5 linked regions of the Kluyveromyces lactis genome follow. The protein of the gene in region 1 interacts with the protein of each later gene in a pairwise test. Links are inferred from orthologs where the notes say so. Each region holds a gene or a part of one and is shown on either strand. Other genes may lie near its edges.

Region 1 (4,277 bases):
GAGCTTCCGTTAAGAATGCTAGCTGCAATATCAGACTTGACAACATTTGGACGTTGCATAACAGACTGTGTAGATGAGTTTAAATCAATGGATGAAAATGAAGAATTTAGCGACGATATTGAAGAATTTAATAGCAATTCCTGATCGTTGATTGGTAAAAAAAGAGCAAGATCTCCCGGTTGGAAGTTATATATTGTAATTTTGTCTCTAGCACTTTTCTGCAAAAGGAGTTTTTTATTCTTGTTCTCTTTCCTAAGCTTTTTCGCCAAACTTTCGATATCATTGAACCTGCGGATCACTGACGTTTCGAACAATTGGTTACCAAATAGTTTTTCTATGTAGGTAATGAAATTTTCATGAGGTTTGTAGTCAATCTGATCCTTTATAGATTCGAAAGTACTCTTTATTTCTTGTGCAATTACACTTTTTGCCATGGAACTATTCATATCAGCCAAACTTGAATCCAGATCTTTTCTTAAACCTTTGACGCGAACAATTTGAAAGTTTCCATCTTGATCTTTGGAAAGTAACAACCCGATACTCGCCAAAATGAAAATACTACCTTGGAAAACATCATATAAAGTTTTTTCCAATTGCTTATTAAAGTTGATAAACTCTGCATCAATTGTTTTGCTTTTTGATATTTGCAATTGGTTAAGATCTTTTTTAAGACTTTCAACTTCTTCTTGCAAGGAAGCCCGTTCCTGTTCTGCTTGAACTTCTTGGGTTGCCATATTGACAAGAAGATCTTCTTTCATTTTGTTTAAATCCTCGGATTTCCGTCGGGATTCTTCAGATTCCCTTACAAGTTCCTCATTTTGCTCAAAGAGGGATCCTAAATGCTTCTTGAAATTCTCCGAACGAGAATTCATTTCAGAATAGAAGTTTTCGCGTTCAATCAACAACGTTGATAATTCTTTGTTTAAATTTGTCATGGATTCTCTGTAAGCATTTTTCTCGACCTCCATATGGGAAAGTTGACTTTTAAGTGTTGAAAGTTCAGTTTCAAGGGTCTTGGTTAATTCAGAGTATTTGCTTATATCCTTTTGCAGGTTTTGAAATTCCTCGAAGGTTTTATTTGATTCGTGTTGTTGTTTGGAACTTGGGAGATCGAATGTTGAACTTTGCTGTAACTTTGTGCTCACGGTACTATTGCGGAACATTTGGACCATTGCAGTTTCCTTATTCAGAATGCCAGCTGGCCATGAGTCGTACTGATGGAACTGTGCATCAAGTAATAAATGTTCTAGCTTTTTGATACGAGCCTTGTATCCTTCAATGATAAGCTCCGAGTCCTTCGAGAGCGCGTAATCTGTAGGTAAATGCAAGCCTGTCAGCTCCGCCTGCGAGACTTTTGACTTAAGTAAATTAATTGTAGGTTCACCTAAGTTCAATGAAGCAAGTTGATTAATATAATCTTTAATCTGAGACAATGTCACCTGTTTATGATCACTTATGGACGGAATGTATACTGATGATGGTAGCAAACTATCAACATCTAGAAATCGAGTTATCCATTGGAAATCTTTGTACCAAGAGTTTCTTTGTCGTACTTCGTCATCCAAAAGATGCTGCAATGAAGATTCATGTTGTTGTCGAAGTTGAGAGTAACGGTCTGTCCAGAGCTGCTCTCTGTATAACTCAATCAAATACAATCCATAACACATAGGCAAATCCAATACTTGAGATAATTTCAGTTCTTCATTCTTCAAAAACTTCATATTGGTCTTAACGTCTTTAGTTAACACCGACTTCACCATTATTACGCTCATCTGCGATTTTGCAACGGAAAGGTACAACTGTTGCAACTTCTGCTGGACAGTAGCTTTTGTATCTAAATTCGTGGAAGCTTTATTGAACATTGCTTGCGAAATTGTTTGTAATTTGGGGACATGTACACTTTTGAATGTTTCAAACTTCTCTTTTGAAGCATCTTTAGAAGCCTCTTCTTTATATTGATTTGATACAAGCTCAATCTCTGTAGCCATTTCTTTAAATCGTTCAACCATTTGGTTGTCCATATCATCAGAACTGACAACTGAATTTTTTTTCACATCATCTAAATCTGAGATTAACTGTGTTCTCTGCTGGTAGCATTCATCAATACTTTTCTTTAACTCCTTTAACTTCGCATTTAGTTCACGATCCAGACGGTGAATGGAATCCTCGATCTCTGTTAGCTCGCTATAATTGAAAAATGATGATAATAACTGATTAGAAACTTTAATATTGCCGAGAATATTATCATAAAAGGAATGCCATTGATTTGAGGCACCATCTTCGTGAAGCTTGTTAAGAAAATCAACGTTGCCATTATACAGCACCTCCACTTCATAGCAGTAGTTTTTCAAATACTCAAGCATAACAGTACCACACTCTAATAACCGTTGAACGTCTTGATAAGTTTCTTTTATAACGTCCTGGAAAAATTCAACGTCTGATTGCAAAGCCTTCAACCACCCTAAATTCCGTAGAATGACATTTTTATCCAACTGTAACGAATCGCTTATCGGCGATGGCAAAGGTTTGAAAAGTTGGAACCTTGGCTTTGGGGAAAACTCGATCTCCTCATTGAATATTCCACGGTCAAATACGTATATTTCTTCCAATCCTTCTTGTTGCAGCTTTCTGGAATCCCATCCTGCTTTCTTCAATATCATTCCATAAGGTAACAATAGAAGTATGTCATCGAGCGGTATCTGGAAAGTATCACTTGCAAACTGTTTCAAATCTAAGAAACTAGGGAAATAAACATTAGATAATTGGTGTGAAACTCCTGATGTAGCACATATCAACTTGCATGGCGGCATTATTAATAAAATTATCAGATTGTAACCTTAAGACTTTGGAAAGAAATAAAGGGACAATGTCGATTTAATGATGATGAAATGGGGGGTGTTAGCTCACAGGATTCTATATCATGAGTATTCTTTAAATGCTGAGATATATCTAATCTGGAGTACTAAAGCCGTAAGCAACAAGTGGAATAAGAGCCGATAAACGTCAGGGGACTGAAAAACTATGTAACAGGTTTTCTCACCTATAAAACTTACCGGGGGGTCCATATAATCTTTTTTCGAATCAGTTTGGTGAAGCAAGAGCACGTGACTGATATGCTTTTATTATAAAAATTTGGTTTTAAACCTCCAGATGATGAGATAAACAGTTTTAAGTAAAGCTTTTTATATTCGCTAGCTTCGGCAGCATCTACTCTCATTGATATAACTAATTAAAAATTAATAAGAAAGTATACTGCAGATAAACTAAGCAAAGGATGGTCGAAATAAGGTACACACGATTCGATATCAGTAATGACATGGAGTTTTCCACCATCAAGAAATTGATCGATGAGGATCTCAGTGAGCCATATTCGATATACGTGTACAGATTTTTCCTAAACCAATGGCCGAACCTAACGTATTTGGCATGGGCAGAAGGATCGGGTAAGCCCATAGGATGTATAGTATGCAAGAGCGATACTCATAATGGAGTGCGGTTAAGAGGATACATTGGCATGTTAGCAGTGGAGAAACAATATAGAGGCCGTGGGATAGCGAAAAAACTAATTACCTTAGCTATAGATACTATGATTGATGAAAAATGTGACGAGATTATGTTGGAGACTGAATGCAGCAATGCAGCTGCTTTGCATTTATACGAGAATATGGGCTTCATCAGAATGAAGAGATTATTCCGGTATTATTTGAACCAGGGAGATGCGTTTAAACTCATTTTACCGATTACAGAGAAAAGTTGTGTGAGAAGCACATTCCTGGGGATGGATTCCTTTCCTACCGACACCATACTCTAAAGTAAATTGAATTGATTTTATATCAGTAATTGTCATTTTAATACACACACAATATATATATATATATAGCATTGCGAAAAGAGATTTCATTCCTCTTCATCGAACTTTGGAGCCAAATAGAATTGCAAATTACCGCTTGAGATATCGAATTGGAAAAGGGCTGGCGCTTCTTCCGATAATTTTATAGTGATTGTATCTGATAGAGAGGACCCCTTAATGATGTCGTTTAAATATTTAGCACCGAACCTTAAATCTACTGGTTTTTCTATGGTAACTTTAATTGAACTTTCAGGATGATCCAAATCGGTGAAAGGTTTCACAACAATGGACCCACTTCCGATATCACCTTCTGCGGCGAATTTGATGGTATCCTTAGTGACTAAGATGTTAATAGAATCACTCAATTGACTTAAGTCACGTACGGTCTTCGCGAAATCAGCAGATGGCATTGTAATATAGGATTCAT
Region 2 (4,101 bases), on another chromosome or scaffold:
CATTTTTATAAACTTATAATTTTTATATTTAATTTTTAAAATAACTTTATAATTATCATATTTTAATTATATATATTAATTTTTGTTAACTCTAGGTTATTTATAAAATAGAATATTTTTGATTACTACTCTAAAATTTAAATATTAAAGATGTTTTATTGTTCCGAAAATAAAAATATTAATGAAATATTTTGGAAATTTAATAATATTTTTCTGCTTGATTATATTGATGTTTTTGATAAAGGCGTTTCTATGAATCTGGCGTTTATAAGGTACATATTGTTTTCTATGATAGAAAGAGCATCCCTTCCACATCTGAGGTTAAATTCTGACCATTTGGATAATCCAACATCAGTAAATTAGCTTCACGGATAAACGTTAATGCTTTGCATATTCAATACTGTTTTTTTTTTTCTGTATACAAAATATTATCTTCATTTCTATTTACATTTTGAACTTAATAAAATAAAACTTAGGATCCTATCTAGGACTATAGAATGTCTCCGATAATACCTGATGCTTTTTGATAAGTTTCCAAAAGGTTGACGCATTTTTCGCGGTCCTGTGCTAAAGTCTGATCTTCCATCAAGAGTTCATCGAAGAGTGACTCTTTGTAAAGCTTTGTGACTAGTCTATTTTGGACAGATTCTTTTGAATAGTTTACTAGCAAGCACATTACAGCCTTTGGGACCTGATCTTCGATCATCTCTCTAACAATGGAAAAGTATGAGACGATCAATCTTCTAATTAATTCACATTCCAACTCTTCACGTTCGGTAAATTCGGTAGCAGCTTCAGATTTGGTATGGGCATCTGCGCTCTTGTCTTTAAAATCTTGAATTTGCAAATTTTCGATGTCATAAGAATTATCAGAGCCGTTATAATCAATTCTCGAAGAAAGCTTTGTATTGGAACTCTTTTGTTCTTTGCCGAAGAAATAATTCAAGAAGGAATCCTTTGATTGCTTCATATCATTTTCTTCTTCAGAGTCGTGCTCGCTGGTTGCTGTGGAATCAGAATCAAGCTTCAAATCTTGTTCTGTCTCATCTACTGAATCGGATTTCTTCATTTCACGTTCAGCTTGTTGTTGCTCTAACAGTAGCTGCTTCTCATATTCCCTCTGTTTCTGAAGTCTTTCCGTTTGCTTTTTGTTCTTTCTAGCTTCAACAATCTCGGCCATGGCCTCTGTAGCACTTGGGAAATTTGGATGATTTGTGTTAATGTACGCTTTATGAATATCAATCAAACTTTCGACGTAAGAACGAGTTGGTCCCAATCTTTCCCTCAACAGTTCACTGACAACCTCGACTAGCTTACTTTGTAGTTTTGGATATCTTGCTAGCTCAGGAGAGCCACAGTTGTGACATATCTTCATCAATTCTTCATACACCAATTCTACGCAACGTTGAGATGGATCTAGAAGTAATCTGATTTGTGGTTTAACCAATAGATCGAATGCTAATTCTGGAACAAACAATGAAGGTCTTGGCCCAGTTGAGTTTCTTATAGCTGTTCTGATGTCCGTCATTGATAAGTTAGAAGTAGGGTTGATGAAGTTTAGAGATTTCCCGAATAGAGTGTTATAGATGTAATAGATTCTGGCACCACCACAAAGTTCTTTAGTGCTTATTTCCGAGGAAGTACCATCGATGGAAGAAATGAATTTAGTAGCAAATTTATTCATCAATTGCAAAACAAGGCCAGCTCTATTTTCTTTCGTGATAACTTTATCGTCACCATATGTAGCCAATTCTTGTTCGGTTTGTCCGATGAGGGTATTTAATCTGGCTTTGATATCTGGCAATTTATCTCTAATGTGATTCATCAAGACTTGGTTCAATAATTTAGCCAAGTATCTGGTTCCGCATCTAGTTGAAATAGTTCTGTAAACAGGATGTTTTGCAAAGAATTGTTCTTCTGAGTTCAAAGCTTCTTCAACACTTTTGTTTTGTTGGATGTCTTGCTGGGATCTGTTCACCACACCGACAAATCCTAGCTTCAAAGGATACAACTTCCCTGACAAAATATCCAAAGCATTAGTGCCTTGGTCCATAAGATCCAATTTAGTAATAACACCAATAGTTCTTTTCCCATGGGGATCTATCTCTCTGGCCAATTTCAAAGATTCTGAATTAACGAGATCGACATTAGCAGGGGAGATGGCCAAGATGATACAGTTTGGCTTGGCAACATATTCCAAGATCAAATTCTCGATTTGTCTTTCAATATCCGGTGGCTGTTCCCCAATCGGAACCTTAGTGATACCTGGTAGATCCACTAAAGTCAAGTTCAAAACATGCGGAGAATATATTTTCAAGTTGATTGGAATTCTGCTTATTCCCTTCTCTTTCCCTGCAATCCTAGCAGTTTCGTTTTCAATTTCCCTTCTAATTTCAGAAAAGTCGTAGAATCTACGACCTGGAATATGTAAAAACTCACCCCATTCATTCTTTATTTCAGGCTTATAGTTTGAATTCTTTCTCAAATGATCTTCCAAGGTCATTTCCTTCTCCGTGCGGGCATCTGGCTCGTCATTAACCTGTTCAAGTGACGTAGATGAAGAATTGTCATAATTATAAACCAATGGAGAATTCGGATCAATATTATTCAACTGAAGAACTAGAGGACGTCTGGTAACAATACCAGTACCACGAGGTAAGAAATCTCTCCCGACCAACGTTTCCAAGATCGAAGACTTACCAGAAGATTGCGATCCAATAACAGCTAAAACCGGTAGATCCAAACTGTCAATGCCTGCATCGTACATAACATCCTGTAGCTTATTCACCGTAGGAATCAAATCTTCTAGACTTGACATCTTCAGAGTTACTTGTGTACTATACTCCGACCTAATTAACCGTTCTAATAGACTAGTTTAAGGTTAACAGGATCGCATCTAATATCTAACCAATCAAAGATACACTCAAACGCAATATTTAACCATTTCATTGGATCAAATTTCAAATAATTATTCTCAATGCAATAGGTATTTTTTATTATTTATTTATTTATTTTTATTTTTATTTTTATTTTTATTTTTATTTTTATTTGATTTAATTTGTTACATTTTTATTCTCTGTTTGATTTCTGCTGAAAATTGACTTCCAATATAGAGATCCGCTGTGATGTACGCGCAAATTGTCCTGAATCCATTATGTAGTATATATATATCAGCACCGTCACACTACGATTTAGGTTTCCTATGGACACTTAGAGTGTTTATTACGTTAATAGTGTTTATTTCAGGCCGTTTTGTAGTAGCGATCTTGTGGTGGTTTCCAATAACTTTTATCATCTTCGTGGAGTAATGCATGTCAAAAATATCTCGAATGTTCATGTATGCTTCTTCAGCACCTTCTTCAGTGTCATATTCTTCTCCAGTTATGTAGTTCTTCAGATTTTTAAAGTTCTTCTTCGAGGTTGGTATAATTATATCAGTCCGTTCTGGTTCATTGCAACGGCCGATGTATTTTCCTGACACTCCAATGACAGACACAGTTGATCCCAGTCTGAACTCTTGCCTTGCTTGCAATTCTGTCCAGAATGTTAACACATTGACTTTAGAAATTCGTCCATCACTGATCAGATGGTCAAGGAATCTGCCCTTGGGGTCATCAGGGAATAATGGTATCCTGTATAATGCAATGTCTTGCGGACTTTCAGAGAAAATGTCTCCTACGGTCCAATTTTGATATGCTGTGTTTCTCAAATAGTTGGAAATTACTCTTTTCTCTTCTCCCGGTATTTGTAAGGTTGCCTTTGTTTTATTATCGAAATCTTCGACAACTATTTGGTCTACAATCTTTAACCACCATTTGAGCAATTTGTCACCACTTAGGACGTGTTTCCTTGGGTTTTTAGATGAGTTTGAAAACAAATACTGCGGCTCTGCCCTGGTAAAAAGACTTACCTTTGTGACAATTTCCGTCGGAACCGGGAATGAAACGTATAAATCTTGGTCTGGGATTTTAACCCTTGAAGTTATCCCCTTCGAATCCAACGGTCTGTTGGATAATATTTCTAACGCTCTCTGTACTGATGTACTTCTCTTTATAATCTTTGCACCGCTCAGTGCTTTCCTTATCAGCGGTTTTACCGCCC
Region 3 (3,994 bases), on another chromosome or scaffold:
GAAGGAGACAGACCTCCGCTTCCAAAAAGGCCGGACAACAAAGTGCAAGAAGCCGTTTTCGATGGAACAAGTGAACCAAGCCTACCTAGTACAGCATCGGCAGAACCTCGCCCAGCAGTATTCGATGGGGTACAACAATACTATGATCCAACTACCGGCCAAATTTATGTAGATCAAAACTCCTATGCGGCAATGCAGCAGGCCCAGGTACAAGCATTGGCACAACAAGTTCAACCTCAGTTTACACAACAGGTTCAACCTCAGTTTACACAACAAGTGCAACCCCAATTCACACAGCAATTACAACCTCAGTTCACCCAACAGGTACAGCCTCAATTCACTGCTCAACCATCGATAGATAAGAACACACTATTATCACTGTATCAAAGACCAGATTTATATTCTAGTGCCGTAGAAATCAAACCGGATAATCCACAATACCAACAGATCCTGAATCTCCAAAAACAACAGCAGGACCAACAACAGCAGCAACAGCAACTGCTACAACAACAGCAGCTACAACAGCAGCAACAGCAACAGCTCCTGCAGCAACAACAGTTACAACAAATGCAATACCAACAACCACAACAGTACCAACAACAATTCTACCCCCCATTCCAATAGATCATCATCCCTTGGCCTTCTTTGCAGCTGCAGCTGCAACTGCACATCTGCTACCGCACTACGGTTTAATCTCTCATACCTATGTTTGCCTATATAATACGTAAATATGGCTAAAACCAAAACACCGCTACAACTAATATCTAACTTTGTCTTCCTCCTCTGACGTTTCACAACGTCTGCTATACACTCTTATCCGGAACATCCACGATCTACTTACTACCTAGCTATCACCACTATTATCTTACTGACCATCAAAAAAAAAACCTCCCATTGACTCATAACCAATCATATCTTATTTGCACTTAACGAGCGTTTTCTTAAAACCGTTCCACCAAGCACCAGTGTCTTTCCACTGCCTTTACTGTGTACGTTTTCTGCGATATATCTGTCTTTCCTTCTTTGTTTCTTTATTTCTATATAAAGTTCAAAATGACTTATTACAAACTAAGTTTTGATCCTTAAAAACCATTTATAAGAAATAAGAACGCCCCCCCTTGTAAAGAAAGAGGCCAAAGAATGACAACGGTCTGGCACTGAGTAGTCATATGGAAAGCGGTTGAGCATGAGTTCAGAATCGCACGACAAAGTTGTGGCGAAAGCCATTCGTTTGCCGACAGAAAACTATTCCGTGGAGAAGGAGATCGGTAAGGGTTCATTCGCGGTTGTTTACAAAGGTCTATCGTTAAGAGATGGGAGAAACATAGCTATCAAGGCCGTGTCGAGGTCGAAGCTAAAGAACAAGAAGCTTTTGGAGAATTTGGAGGTCGAAATTGCCATTTTAAAGAAGATCAAACATCCGCATATTGTGGGGTTAATAGATTGTGAGCGGACTTCATCTGATTTCTATTTGATCATGGAATACTGTGCACTAGGTGATTTAACGTTTTTCATAAAGAAGAGGAAGAACCTAGTGCTCAAGCATCCTTTGATAAAGACTGTTTTTGAACATTACCCGCCACCAAGTACGGAACATAATGGATTAAATCGGGTTCTTGTGGTAAACTATTTACAACAACTATCCTCTGCGCTTAAGTTTTTGCGATCTAAGAATCTAGTACACAGAGATATCAAGCCACAGAATTTATTGTTATGCACACCGTTATTAGATTATAATGATCCGAAGACGTTTCATGAGTTGGGGTTTGTGGGAATCTACAATTTACCCATCTTGAAAATCGCGGATTTTGGGTTCGCTAGATTCTTGCCTAATACTTCTCTAGCAGAAACTTTATGCGGGTCACCATTGTACATGGCTCCAGAAATATTAAACTATCAAAAATACAATGCCAAGGCTGATCTTTGGTCAGTAGGAACGGTGCTATACGAAATGTGTTGCGGGAGACCGCCTTTTAAAGCATCAAACCATCTCGAGTTGTTTCAAAAGATTAAAAAGGCCAACGATGAGATTACAGTGCCCTCAAATTGCTATATTGAACCGAAACTGTTCAATCTAATAAGAGGGTTGCTAACTTTTGACCCGGATTCCCGTATGGGGTTCACTGATTTTTTCAATAACGAAGTAGTGACAGAAGATTTGACAAGGTACGAGCAATCGTATGAGCCAGACTTAGAATCCAAGAGTAAAGATGTCGCTGAAAGTAATATGTTTGTTTCAGAATATCTAGTCAAACCATTAAAGCAGCAGGAATCTGCACATATACCACCAACTCAAACTGACGAGAACACTAGTGTACAAACTGGCGTTAGGCGAACCTCAGGTAAAGAGAGGCTCGCAACAAACCATCCACCACATCAACAGATCCACCCAGAAGATAACTCTCAAAACCCAGAACAAAGCTACCAATCTGCAAGTCAGAAGAGGCTAAAGAGCTCTTACAATGATTTGATTTTGGAGAAGGAGTATGTTGTTGTGGAGAAGAAAACTGTCGAAGTAAATTCTTTGGCTGATGATTTTGCTAATAATGGACCCATAACAAACAACCAAGGGGCACAAGTTATAAAACCCTTGAGATACAGAACGTCTTCTTCTAGCGATGCATCAGGAGGAAGAAGAGCCTCTTTAGTGGAGAGAAGGCTTTCGATATCGTCATTAAGCCCGTCGAATGCGTTATCGAAGGCACTAGGGTTAGCTTCTGTAAGGCTTTTCGGATATCAACATAATACAAAGGCTACTTCTTCGCCACCTCAACAAACACTACTGAATCCTCAGATATTTCAGGAGCTAACGGAAAATGCAGTATTGAGGGCTGATCATAAACTAAATCCTTTCAGCGAACAAATGTTGGATTCCAACATAACTCCTGCAGTGGAATCGCTTGCGGCCAAAGCATTTGTCATGTATTCGTTCGCTGAAATGAAATTCTCTCAAATTCTTCCAACTCCTCCTTCTTCAACCGACTATGACCCACTGTCAGATAAACGTCTAAGTAACGGAAGTTGCGCGATAGAGGATGAAGAAGATTTGGATCAAGGCCGCCCACCTTCTAATCAAACTTTGACCTCAGCAACAACAAAGATTTCATCAGCCACCAATGTTGACACTCAAATACCGGCCCCCGAGTTGAAAAAGTTGTGCACCGAATCTTTACTTCTTTATCTAAAAGCTCTTACTATTTTAGCTGCTTCAATGAAATTAACATCAAAATGGTGGTATGAAAATGAAAGTAAAAACTGCACTTTGAAGCTAAACATTTTGGTGCAGTGGATTAGAGATCGCTTTAACGAATGCTTAGACAAGGCTGAATTTTTGCGTTTAAAGCTCCATGCTATTAATACATCACCAAATTCCCAATGGTCAGATGATGACCCTGTAATTTTTGTTGAAAAGTTAATATACGATCGTGCTTTAGATATATCTAGAAATGCTGCAAGAATGGAAATGGAAAGTGGGAATTACAATACTTGTGAACTAGCCTATGCTACTTCATTATGGATGTTAGAAATTTTGCTGGACGAAAATTTTCAATTCAACGAAGTCTATGATGACGAGTATGCATCAAATATCACCTCCTTAGACGAATCAGATAAGGAAATGATAAAGAAATACATTTCAAGTATTGCTAATAGGTTAAAGGCACTAAAATCCAAAATGGTTTAGGATTGATCATCTTTTGGATTGGGTTTTTTACAATTTACATTTTATATAATGATTATATATATATGGATTAGGGTTTTTTCCATTAAACACTTACTACTTTTTTTTTGAAACGATACCGATATCGTTTAGTAGTAAAATAAGATTATATCTATGAATAGAATGACTTATTATAATAAATTAAATACCAAATTAAAAATTTCCAAACTTCAAATACGAAACAAAACGGGAGATGCAAATATAAAGCGTTTCAACTTTTGACAAAATAACTCAAATGTCGCTCAAAGGACCTCTATAGTACTATTGGAGCCTTGG
Region 4 (3,881 bases), about 110 kb from region 1:
CGTGTAAAAAAAGTGAGAACATTTATCATAAATTGGAATAGTTCACTGTCGATAAAATTCAATATTAGAGATCATAACAGCATCCTGCAATCTATTAGTTAAGAGGCTTATCATCTATTTCCTGGTTGAAAATGTTTAAAGATTTGATGAGTCTTCGTAATTTTCATTCAAATAACTGTGAATCACTGTGAATCAAGACAATATACATTGAGCGTTAGCATGGCCAATATTTGTCACCAAAAAATTACTAGCTTTAGGAAAATAGGATTTGAAAATGTTACATGCCAATACAGAATAATAGCTAAGTTAATAGAACGAAACATACATTTAATTCGGAAGCAAGATAACGATGACAAAAAAAAAATTAATAATTCTGATATTCTTTATCAATGATATATATCACTATTTATTTCACTAATCTATAGGCAGAGCAGCCAGAGAAAAAAAAAAGAGGAAATGAAATGGAGGGAAAAACAGTTTCAATTTATAAATACAAGCACTTAATATTCAAACGGATGAAACAATCTCACTAGCATGAGTTAGAATATTGACCATCTTTTGACATTCTTTCCTTCTTTGGGTAGTCAAATCACTTTCCTTCGTTAGCTCGTCAAGATTTTCGCTGCTGTATAATTTCTCAAGTAGAATCTTTTGAATGTCATTTTTACTCTTAACGATTAATTTTAGCATAACAGCCTTTGGAATGAAGTCTGCCACGGATCTCTTGACGATGCTGAAATAGCTGTCGATAAGTAATTTAATAACTTCCGTTTCAAGTTTTTCCCTTTCAGTCATTTGACCAGTGGCTTCTAAAACATTTGGTGGATTTTCCAAAACAGAAGCTCTAGTCTTACTCTTCGATGAGAAGAAACCACCAAAGAAACCAGATGGTCTAGTTTCTTCGGCTTTTACAGGTTGAGCAGCAATCGGTTTACCGGTCTTTGGATCCACTTGGCGTGGATGTAGTCTTTCTTCAACCATAGCCATTGCTTGAGAGCCCTTTAATAGGTCTGGATGAGCTGTATTGATATAAGTTTGTTCAGATTTTATGATGTCGACGACAAAGTCATTAGTTGGAATGACCGCCTCTTTCAGGAATTGAACGAAGTTATTCGAGATAGCATCTCTTAGGCTTGGGTATCTGCTGTATTTTGGTTGGTTGATAATCTGCTTTAGTATACGGACCAATTCATCGAAAACTAAGTTGACCAAACGTAAAGAAGGTTGTTCGAACCTACTAATTTGCTTCTTCACCAAGACTTCAAATGCTTCGGTACCCACAAACAAAGAAGGCGCTGAACCAGAACAATTGTACATAATAGTTCTGATATCGGAGTCCTTAATTTGATCGAATGGATCCAAGGCGTAAACACCATTCTTGAAGATTTCATGGAACACAAACGAGACTCTAGCACCACCTGATAGTTCTTTACTTGTAAGCTCCCTTGCTTCACCATCCAATATACCTGTGTATTCCTTTGAGAAGTCTGTGATCATGCTTAGCACGATGGAACTGGAAGATGATAGGGATTCTGGACCCAAACTTAACAATTCAGTTTGATATTTCTTCAAAGTGACCTCAATCTTATGTTTAATATCTGGCAACGTTTGTCTGATGTGATGCAATAGAATAGAATTTAACTTCTTAGTTAAATATGGGGTACCACAGTACAGTGCTCTTGCACTGTACGATGGATGGTTCTCAAAGAAACGTTTTTCGTCCTCTAACGCAGATCTAATTGTTTTATTCTTTTCGATATCTTTTTGACCTCTATTGATTACTGGGATATAACCAAATTTCAATGGGATAACTCTTCCGGCCAAAATATCGATGACATCTGTACCTTCATCCATCAAATCGACTTTAGTTAACACACCGATGGTTCTTGATCCATCGGGATCGACTTCCCTGGCCAATTTCAAACCATCACTGTTAGCCAAATCAGCATTAGCTGGGTTCACTGCCAAGATAATAGCGTTAGGTTTCTTGATGTAAGTCAAGATCATATCCTTGATTTGTCTTTCGATATCAGCTGGTTGATCACCAACAGGGACCTTGGTCAAACCGGGCAAATCGACCAAGGTTAAAGTTAGCACATGTGGCGAATATACTCTTAAAGTGATTGGAACCGCAGAAATCCCTGCATTCTTCCCGGTACTCTTATCGGTCTCCAAAACGATCTCTTTTCTAATTTCGTTAAAGTTGAAAAGCTTTTTACCGGGCAAATGACCAAACTCACCCCATTCTTCTGCATTGTCTTCATTTTGACCACCATTGGCTGCACTGTTATCCAAATCTAACAGCTCTTCTGTAGCATGCTTAGTCTCCTTCTTGACCCTACGGTTGATCAATTGTAAGATCAATGGTCTTCTGGTAACAATACCGGTACCACGAGGCAAGAAATCTCTACCGACAATGTTTTCCAACACAGAAGATTTACCAGAACTTTGAGAACCAACAACGGTAATTTGTGGTAAATCAATCGGAGTCTGAGAACCGCCGCCTAATGGAGCCAAAGCATCCTGTAACTTATTGATCGTAGCAATCAAACGTTCATCCATGTTGCCAGTTTATTTACTCACAGTATTGGGCTTGATCTCAATTACAATTACAAATTGAGAATTCAAAATATATCTCTGACCTAACCGATTAACTTTGGATGTAGTAAAGGTATATATAAAAATAAATCTCTCTAGATATTTGGAATATCTCTCTCGAGTTGACTAGAATTGATTTTGATTTGATGTTTTTCTTGTTTTTCCCCTTTTTCGCCACCAAAAGTTAGAAAAAACCAAGTATTACCCGGAAATGGTTAGATCTGCCAATCTAACTGGATCCAGATCGTATCCAATAGATAGCACAGTCAGTGAGCCTATTTAGCCAGTAGCCTCTTATTCAAATTAACGGGGAGAAGAGTTTCCAAACGAACTACAAGGGCCCATATAAAGGCCGACTTTCACTGTCAATGGGATAGTTTTCTTGTTTTTTTCGGATGCCGTTACAGATCTACACACGAAATACAAAGGTTTTGTAATCATCAAATATCTTGATTCTTCCATATCTGGATTTTCGTTTATATATATGCATATACTTCCAATTGAATTATTGTTGGATAAGATTTACAGGAAATTGAACATACAATTTGCAAATTCAAGCTCGCTCATTCTTATGATTGGGGTCTTTCACGTAATTATTGATTTTTCCTGGGTCTTGAAATCGATTTTGAATTTTTCTGGCTTTAAAAATTTAGTACAAAATGAAATAATATAACAAAGTGTGAACTTTTGAACTTACTATACCTTTTATTTGGTTTGAGTGTGTGAACAGGAGAAGCTAAAGTTAAAACCAACACTACATATCCCTTTGGTCCAAACTTGCCAGTACCTTCAAATTGAACTTCTTAATTCTTTCATTCGCTGGACACTCCTGAGACAGAATTGGTAAAGGAAAGAAATAAAGGGAAACGGAATTCTCAGACAATACAATATTAACTGGCTGATTTTTTTGTCTACACACATATACACACAGTCTCTCTCTATCTGAATATAACTGGATAGTTTGTGCTAGTTACGTTTTTAGTTCAAATTAGTGACGAGCACATCTTTTGATATTGGTCACCTGTTACCAACAACAACAACAACAAAAGAAGTTAGTGTCAGACTCACAAATACTGAAAAAAGCCTTTGCATTGGAACTTTGGTGTATTAACTCTCGGAGATTATACACATCCGACACTTATTTGATTATCCTCATCACGAATTAACTTGTGAGGAGTACTTTTGACGGTTCTTTCTGATCTAGGAAGACGTAGCAAGTCAAAACTCATTCAGGTTGTCGACTTCAGTACAAGACGCACAGGTTTTCAAGGACACTTACGATA
Region 5 (2,374 bases), on another chromosome or scaffold:
ATTGCGGCAAACTGGACAGAATTAGACTCGGTTGTTGTTGTTTGTTACTATTTAATGGAAGACTACGTGATACCGCCAGTTAGTAAGGAGGAGAGACCATCATACTGATTTGGTAATCTGGAAATTTCCTATGGTCACGTGATACGATACCAATGCCTTTACCCAAGGCGAAGGCGAAGGCCACTAGAACTGTGGGGCAGTACTTGGTCCAATGGAAACAATTCTTCCTATGTATCCATCATTACTAGCAATTGTAACAGAAACATTTCACTTCTTCGTTGTTCTCACTTTTGTAACTACATTTCATCTTTTAATGTAAACTTTGTGATGCAATTCATGAATTGAAGATTCACAAGTTCGAATATATTTTGATCATTAGCAGATTATTTCATTAGATTGATAGGGACATACATATAACATTATTTACAAGCGAGTAATATGGGTGACAGGATATTCCCTGGAGATTATATTTCTATTCTTGAGAATGTAGTGGAGGAAAGAAATTTGTTAGCGCCTTCTGCCTCTGATAAGGAGGCCGATGGTGGTTGCGCCGATGGCGATTCCTGCACTGATCAAGGCAATCCCTTTTAATCCCTGAGAAGTGATCTTGTTTTCTACAGCGGTTTGTAGCATCAATGCTTGTTTGTTTTCAGGTTCATGATGCACTAGTGCATCCACGTACCGCTTTGCAGTAGAGTATTCGCCGAGTTTGTAACATCCGATGGTCAAATAGTATAAGCACTCTCTTCTTCTCATTGGAGATTCTTTGTATATGTCCGTCAATAACTTAACACCCAACATCTGATCTTCCTTATTCGTCGATCTGACGAGACCCCAGGCGTAATTGAAGCGTGATTGAATAGATGATATTTCGCCCCCTTCATTGAGCACCTGTTGCCTTAAAATTTCGATTTGATCGCTGTTTAATGCAGAATATGAATCCTCCAATTCAGGAAGGTAGTGGATGTTAGTCATACCGCAGTATTTTTTTGAGCTTGTGCGAGTGATTTCAAGATAAAGAAATAACTGCTACCTTCGATCGTTTCAGATGTTGTTAATGATATTGTTTCAAATTCAATGTCAAATTATCAGTTTTAACTTTTCAATTTATTTTTCTTACGTCCGCTAGACATCTCGAAAACGTTTTGATTATATACAAATATATACAGAAAGTCATCTCTGAGAATTGGTACAGAGGCATCGCAATAAGATCAGCAATTGAAGTTCCGTTCCAAATATCAACACTGATAATTGCGGTAATTTATCCGTTGGTTCATTTTTGTCCAGAAAACTTACACTAGAAACATGGAAGATACAACAAAATTGAATACTTCTAAGTTGGGAACTAAGGAATACTGGGACGATTTCTACTCATTAGAGAAACAAAACTTCGAGGAGAACCCTGAGGATACTGGAGAATGCTGGTTCGCTGATAACGATGCAGAGGAGAAAATGGTCGAATTTCTACTAGATAACTTGGGCGAATACAATATCAAAGAAGACAGCTCAATGATTGATCTCGGAACTGGAAATGGTCATCTTTTGTTCACTCTATTGGAGGAAGGTTTCAAAGGTGAAATGATCGGTGTAGATTACTCTGAAAAATCAGTCGAGTTTGCTGCTGAGATTCTCAAGACTAAATACAGCCAAAATGATAACGTAACTTTTGCTACGGCAGATATATTCAATGAACAATGGGCCCCAGGTAAATTCGATGTCGTTCTAGATAAAGGTACACTAGATGCCATCGCATTAAGCGGTATAAAATTTGAAAACAATGAAACCGTGGTAGATGTCTATCCGAAAGTGATAGAGAAGATATTAGGCGAAAACAGTATTCTGTTGATTACATCATGCAATTTTACAGAAGAGGAACTCATAAAGATTATTGAAACAGAGACGTTGAAAAAATGGAAATCGGTAAACTATCCAATATTTGAGTTCGGTGGTGTCAAAGGAACTACAATATGCAGCGTTGCCTTTCTCAAATCTTCTGCTAAATAATCTTAATTAAGGTATTATTCAAAAGGTTTTAAGTAGTGTCAATTTTACAAAGTCTGTTTGAATCAGAAGTAATATGTCCAATTCAATTCTCCAGGATATGAGCATTTACTTTCTCATATAACTCATCTGCTATTTCAGCTTTTCCTGTCCTTAAGGCATACTGGACAGGATTCTTGTTCTCATCAACTGCTAATATTCTGACGAACTTTTCTCCGTTCAGAGAACCTGGGAACCCTTTTTTAATAGAAAATCCTTTTACAAGCGGTAGATTCAATATTACTTTCAATAACCCACGGGATCTCATTACTATTCTCGACTTTTCTGAAACTTCATCTTTATTTAAATGTAGAACACCAATTCCTCTTTCCTT

What was found.
Region 2: the proteins of ATG11 (region 1) and DNM1 interact in a protein complementation assay, tested with the Saccharomyces cerevisiae proteins (2 studies listed by BioGRID, with this or other methods). The link is inferred for Kluyveromyces lactis from reciprocal best matches to the Saccharomyces cerevisiae genes ATG11 and DNM1.
Region 3: the proteins of ATG11 (region 1) and ATG1 interact in binary tests that used the Saccharomyces cerevisiae proteins (3 or more experiments, as listed by UniProt). The link is inferred for Kluyveromyces lactis from reciprocal best matches to the Saccharomyces cerevisiae genes ATG11 and ATG1.
Region 4: the proteins of ATG11 (region 1) and VPS1 interact in a protein complementation assay, tested with the Saccharomyces cerevisiae proteins (3 studies listed by BioGRID, with this or other methods). The link is inferred for Kluyveromyces lactis from reciprocal best matches to the Saccharomyces cerevisiae genes ATG11 and VPS1.
Region 5: the proteins of ATG11 (region 1) and FIS1 interact in a protein complementation assay, tested with the Saccharomyces cerevisiae proteins (2 studies listed by BioGRID, with this or other methods). The link is inferred for Kluyveromyces lactis from reciprocal best matches to the Saccharomyces cerevisiae genes ATG11 and FIS1.

The regions. Positions count from the first base shown.
Region 1 is NC_006038.1:1,057,391-1,061,667, reverse strand, and holds the start of ATG11 (autophagy protein ATG11), read right to left. Parts: upstream 2,811-4,277; coding exon 1-2,810. Other genes in the region: peptide alpha-N-acetyltransferase MAK3, read left to right, coding at 3,275-3,811; POL30 (proliferating cell nuclear antigen), read right to left, coding at 3,898-4,277. UniProt on the Saccharomyces cerevisiae protein: Involved in cytoplasm to vacuole transport (Cvt), pexophagy, mitophagy and nucleophagy. Recruits mitochondria for their selective degradation via autophagy (mitophagy) during starvation, through its interaction with ATG32.
Region 2 is NC_006042.1:1,187,036-1,191,136, forward strand, and holds DNM1 (dynamin-related GTPase DNM1), read right to left. Parts: upstream 2,819-4,101; coding exon 491-2,818; downstream 1-490. Other genes in the region: H3 histone acetyltransferase RTT109, read right to left, coding at 3,185-4,101. UniProt on the Saccharomyces cerevisiae protein: Microtubule-associated force-producing protein that participates mitochondrial fission. Fission of mitochondria occurs in many cell types and constitutes an important step in mitochondria morphology, which is balanced between fusion and fission.
Region 3 is NC_006039.1:1,497,773-1,501,766, forward strand, and holds ATG1 (serine/threonine protein kinase ATG1), read left to right. Parts: upstream 1-1,186; coding exon 1,187-3,682; downstream 3,683-3,994. Other genes in the region: GTS1 (Gts1p), read left to right, coding at 1-624; KLLA0_C17182g (uncharacterized protein), read right to left, coding at 3,961-3,994. UniProt on the Saccharomyces cerevisiae protein: Serine/threonine protein kinase involved in the cytoplasm to vacuole transport (Cvt) and found to be essential in autophagy, where it is required for the formation of autophagosomes.
Region 4 is NC_006038.1:1,164,424-1,168,304, reverse strand, and holds VPS1 (dynamin-like GTPase VPS1), read right to left. Parts: upstream 2,563-3,881; coding exon 508-2,562; downstream 1-507.
Region 5 is NC_006039.1:696,781-699,154, forward strand, and holds FIS1 (Fis1p), read right to left. Parts: upstream 976-2,374; coding exon 508-975; downstream 1-507. Other genes in the region: EFM4 (Efm4p), read left to right, coding at 1,306-2,004; YRB2 (Yrb2p), read right to left, coding at 2,087-2,374. UniProt on the Saccharomyces cerevisiae protein: Has a role in mitochondrial fission. Has a role in outer membrane fission but not matrix separation. Required for targeting MDV1 to the mitochondria.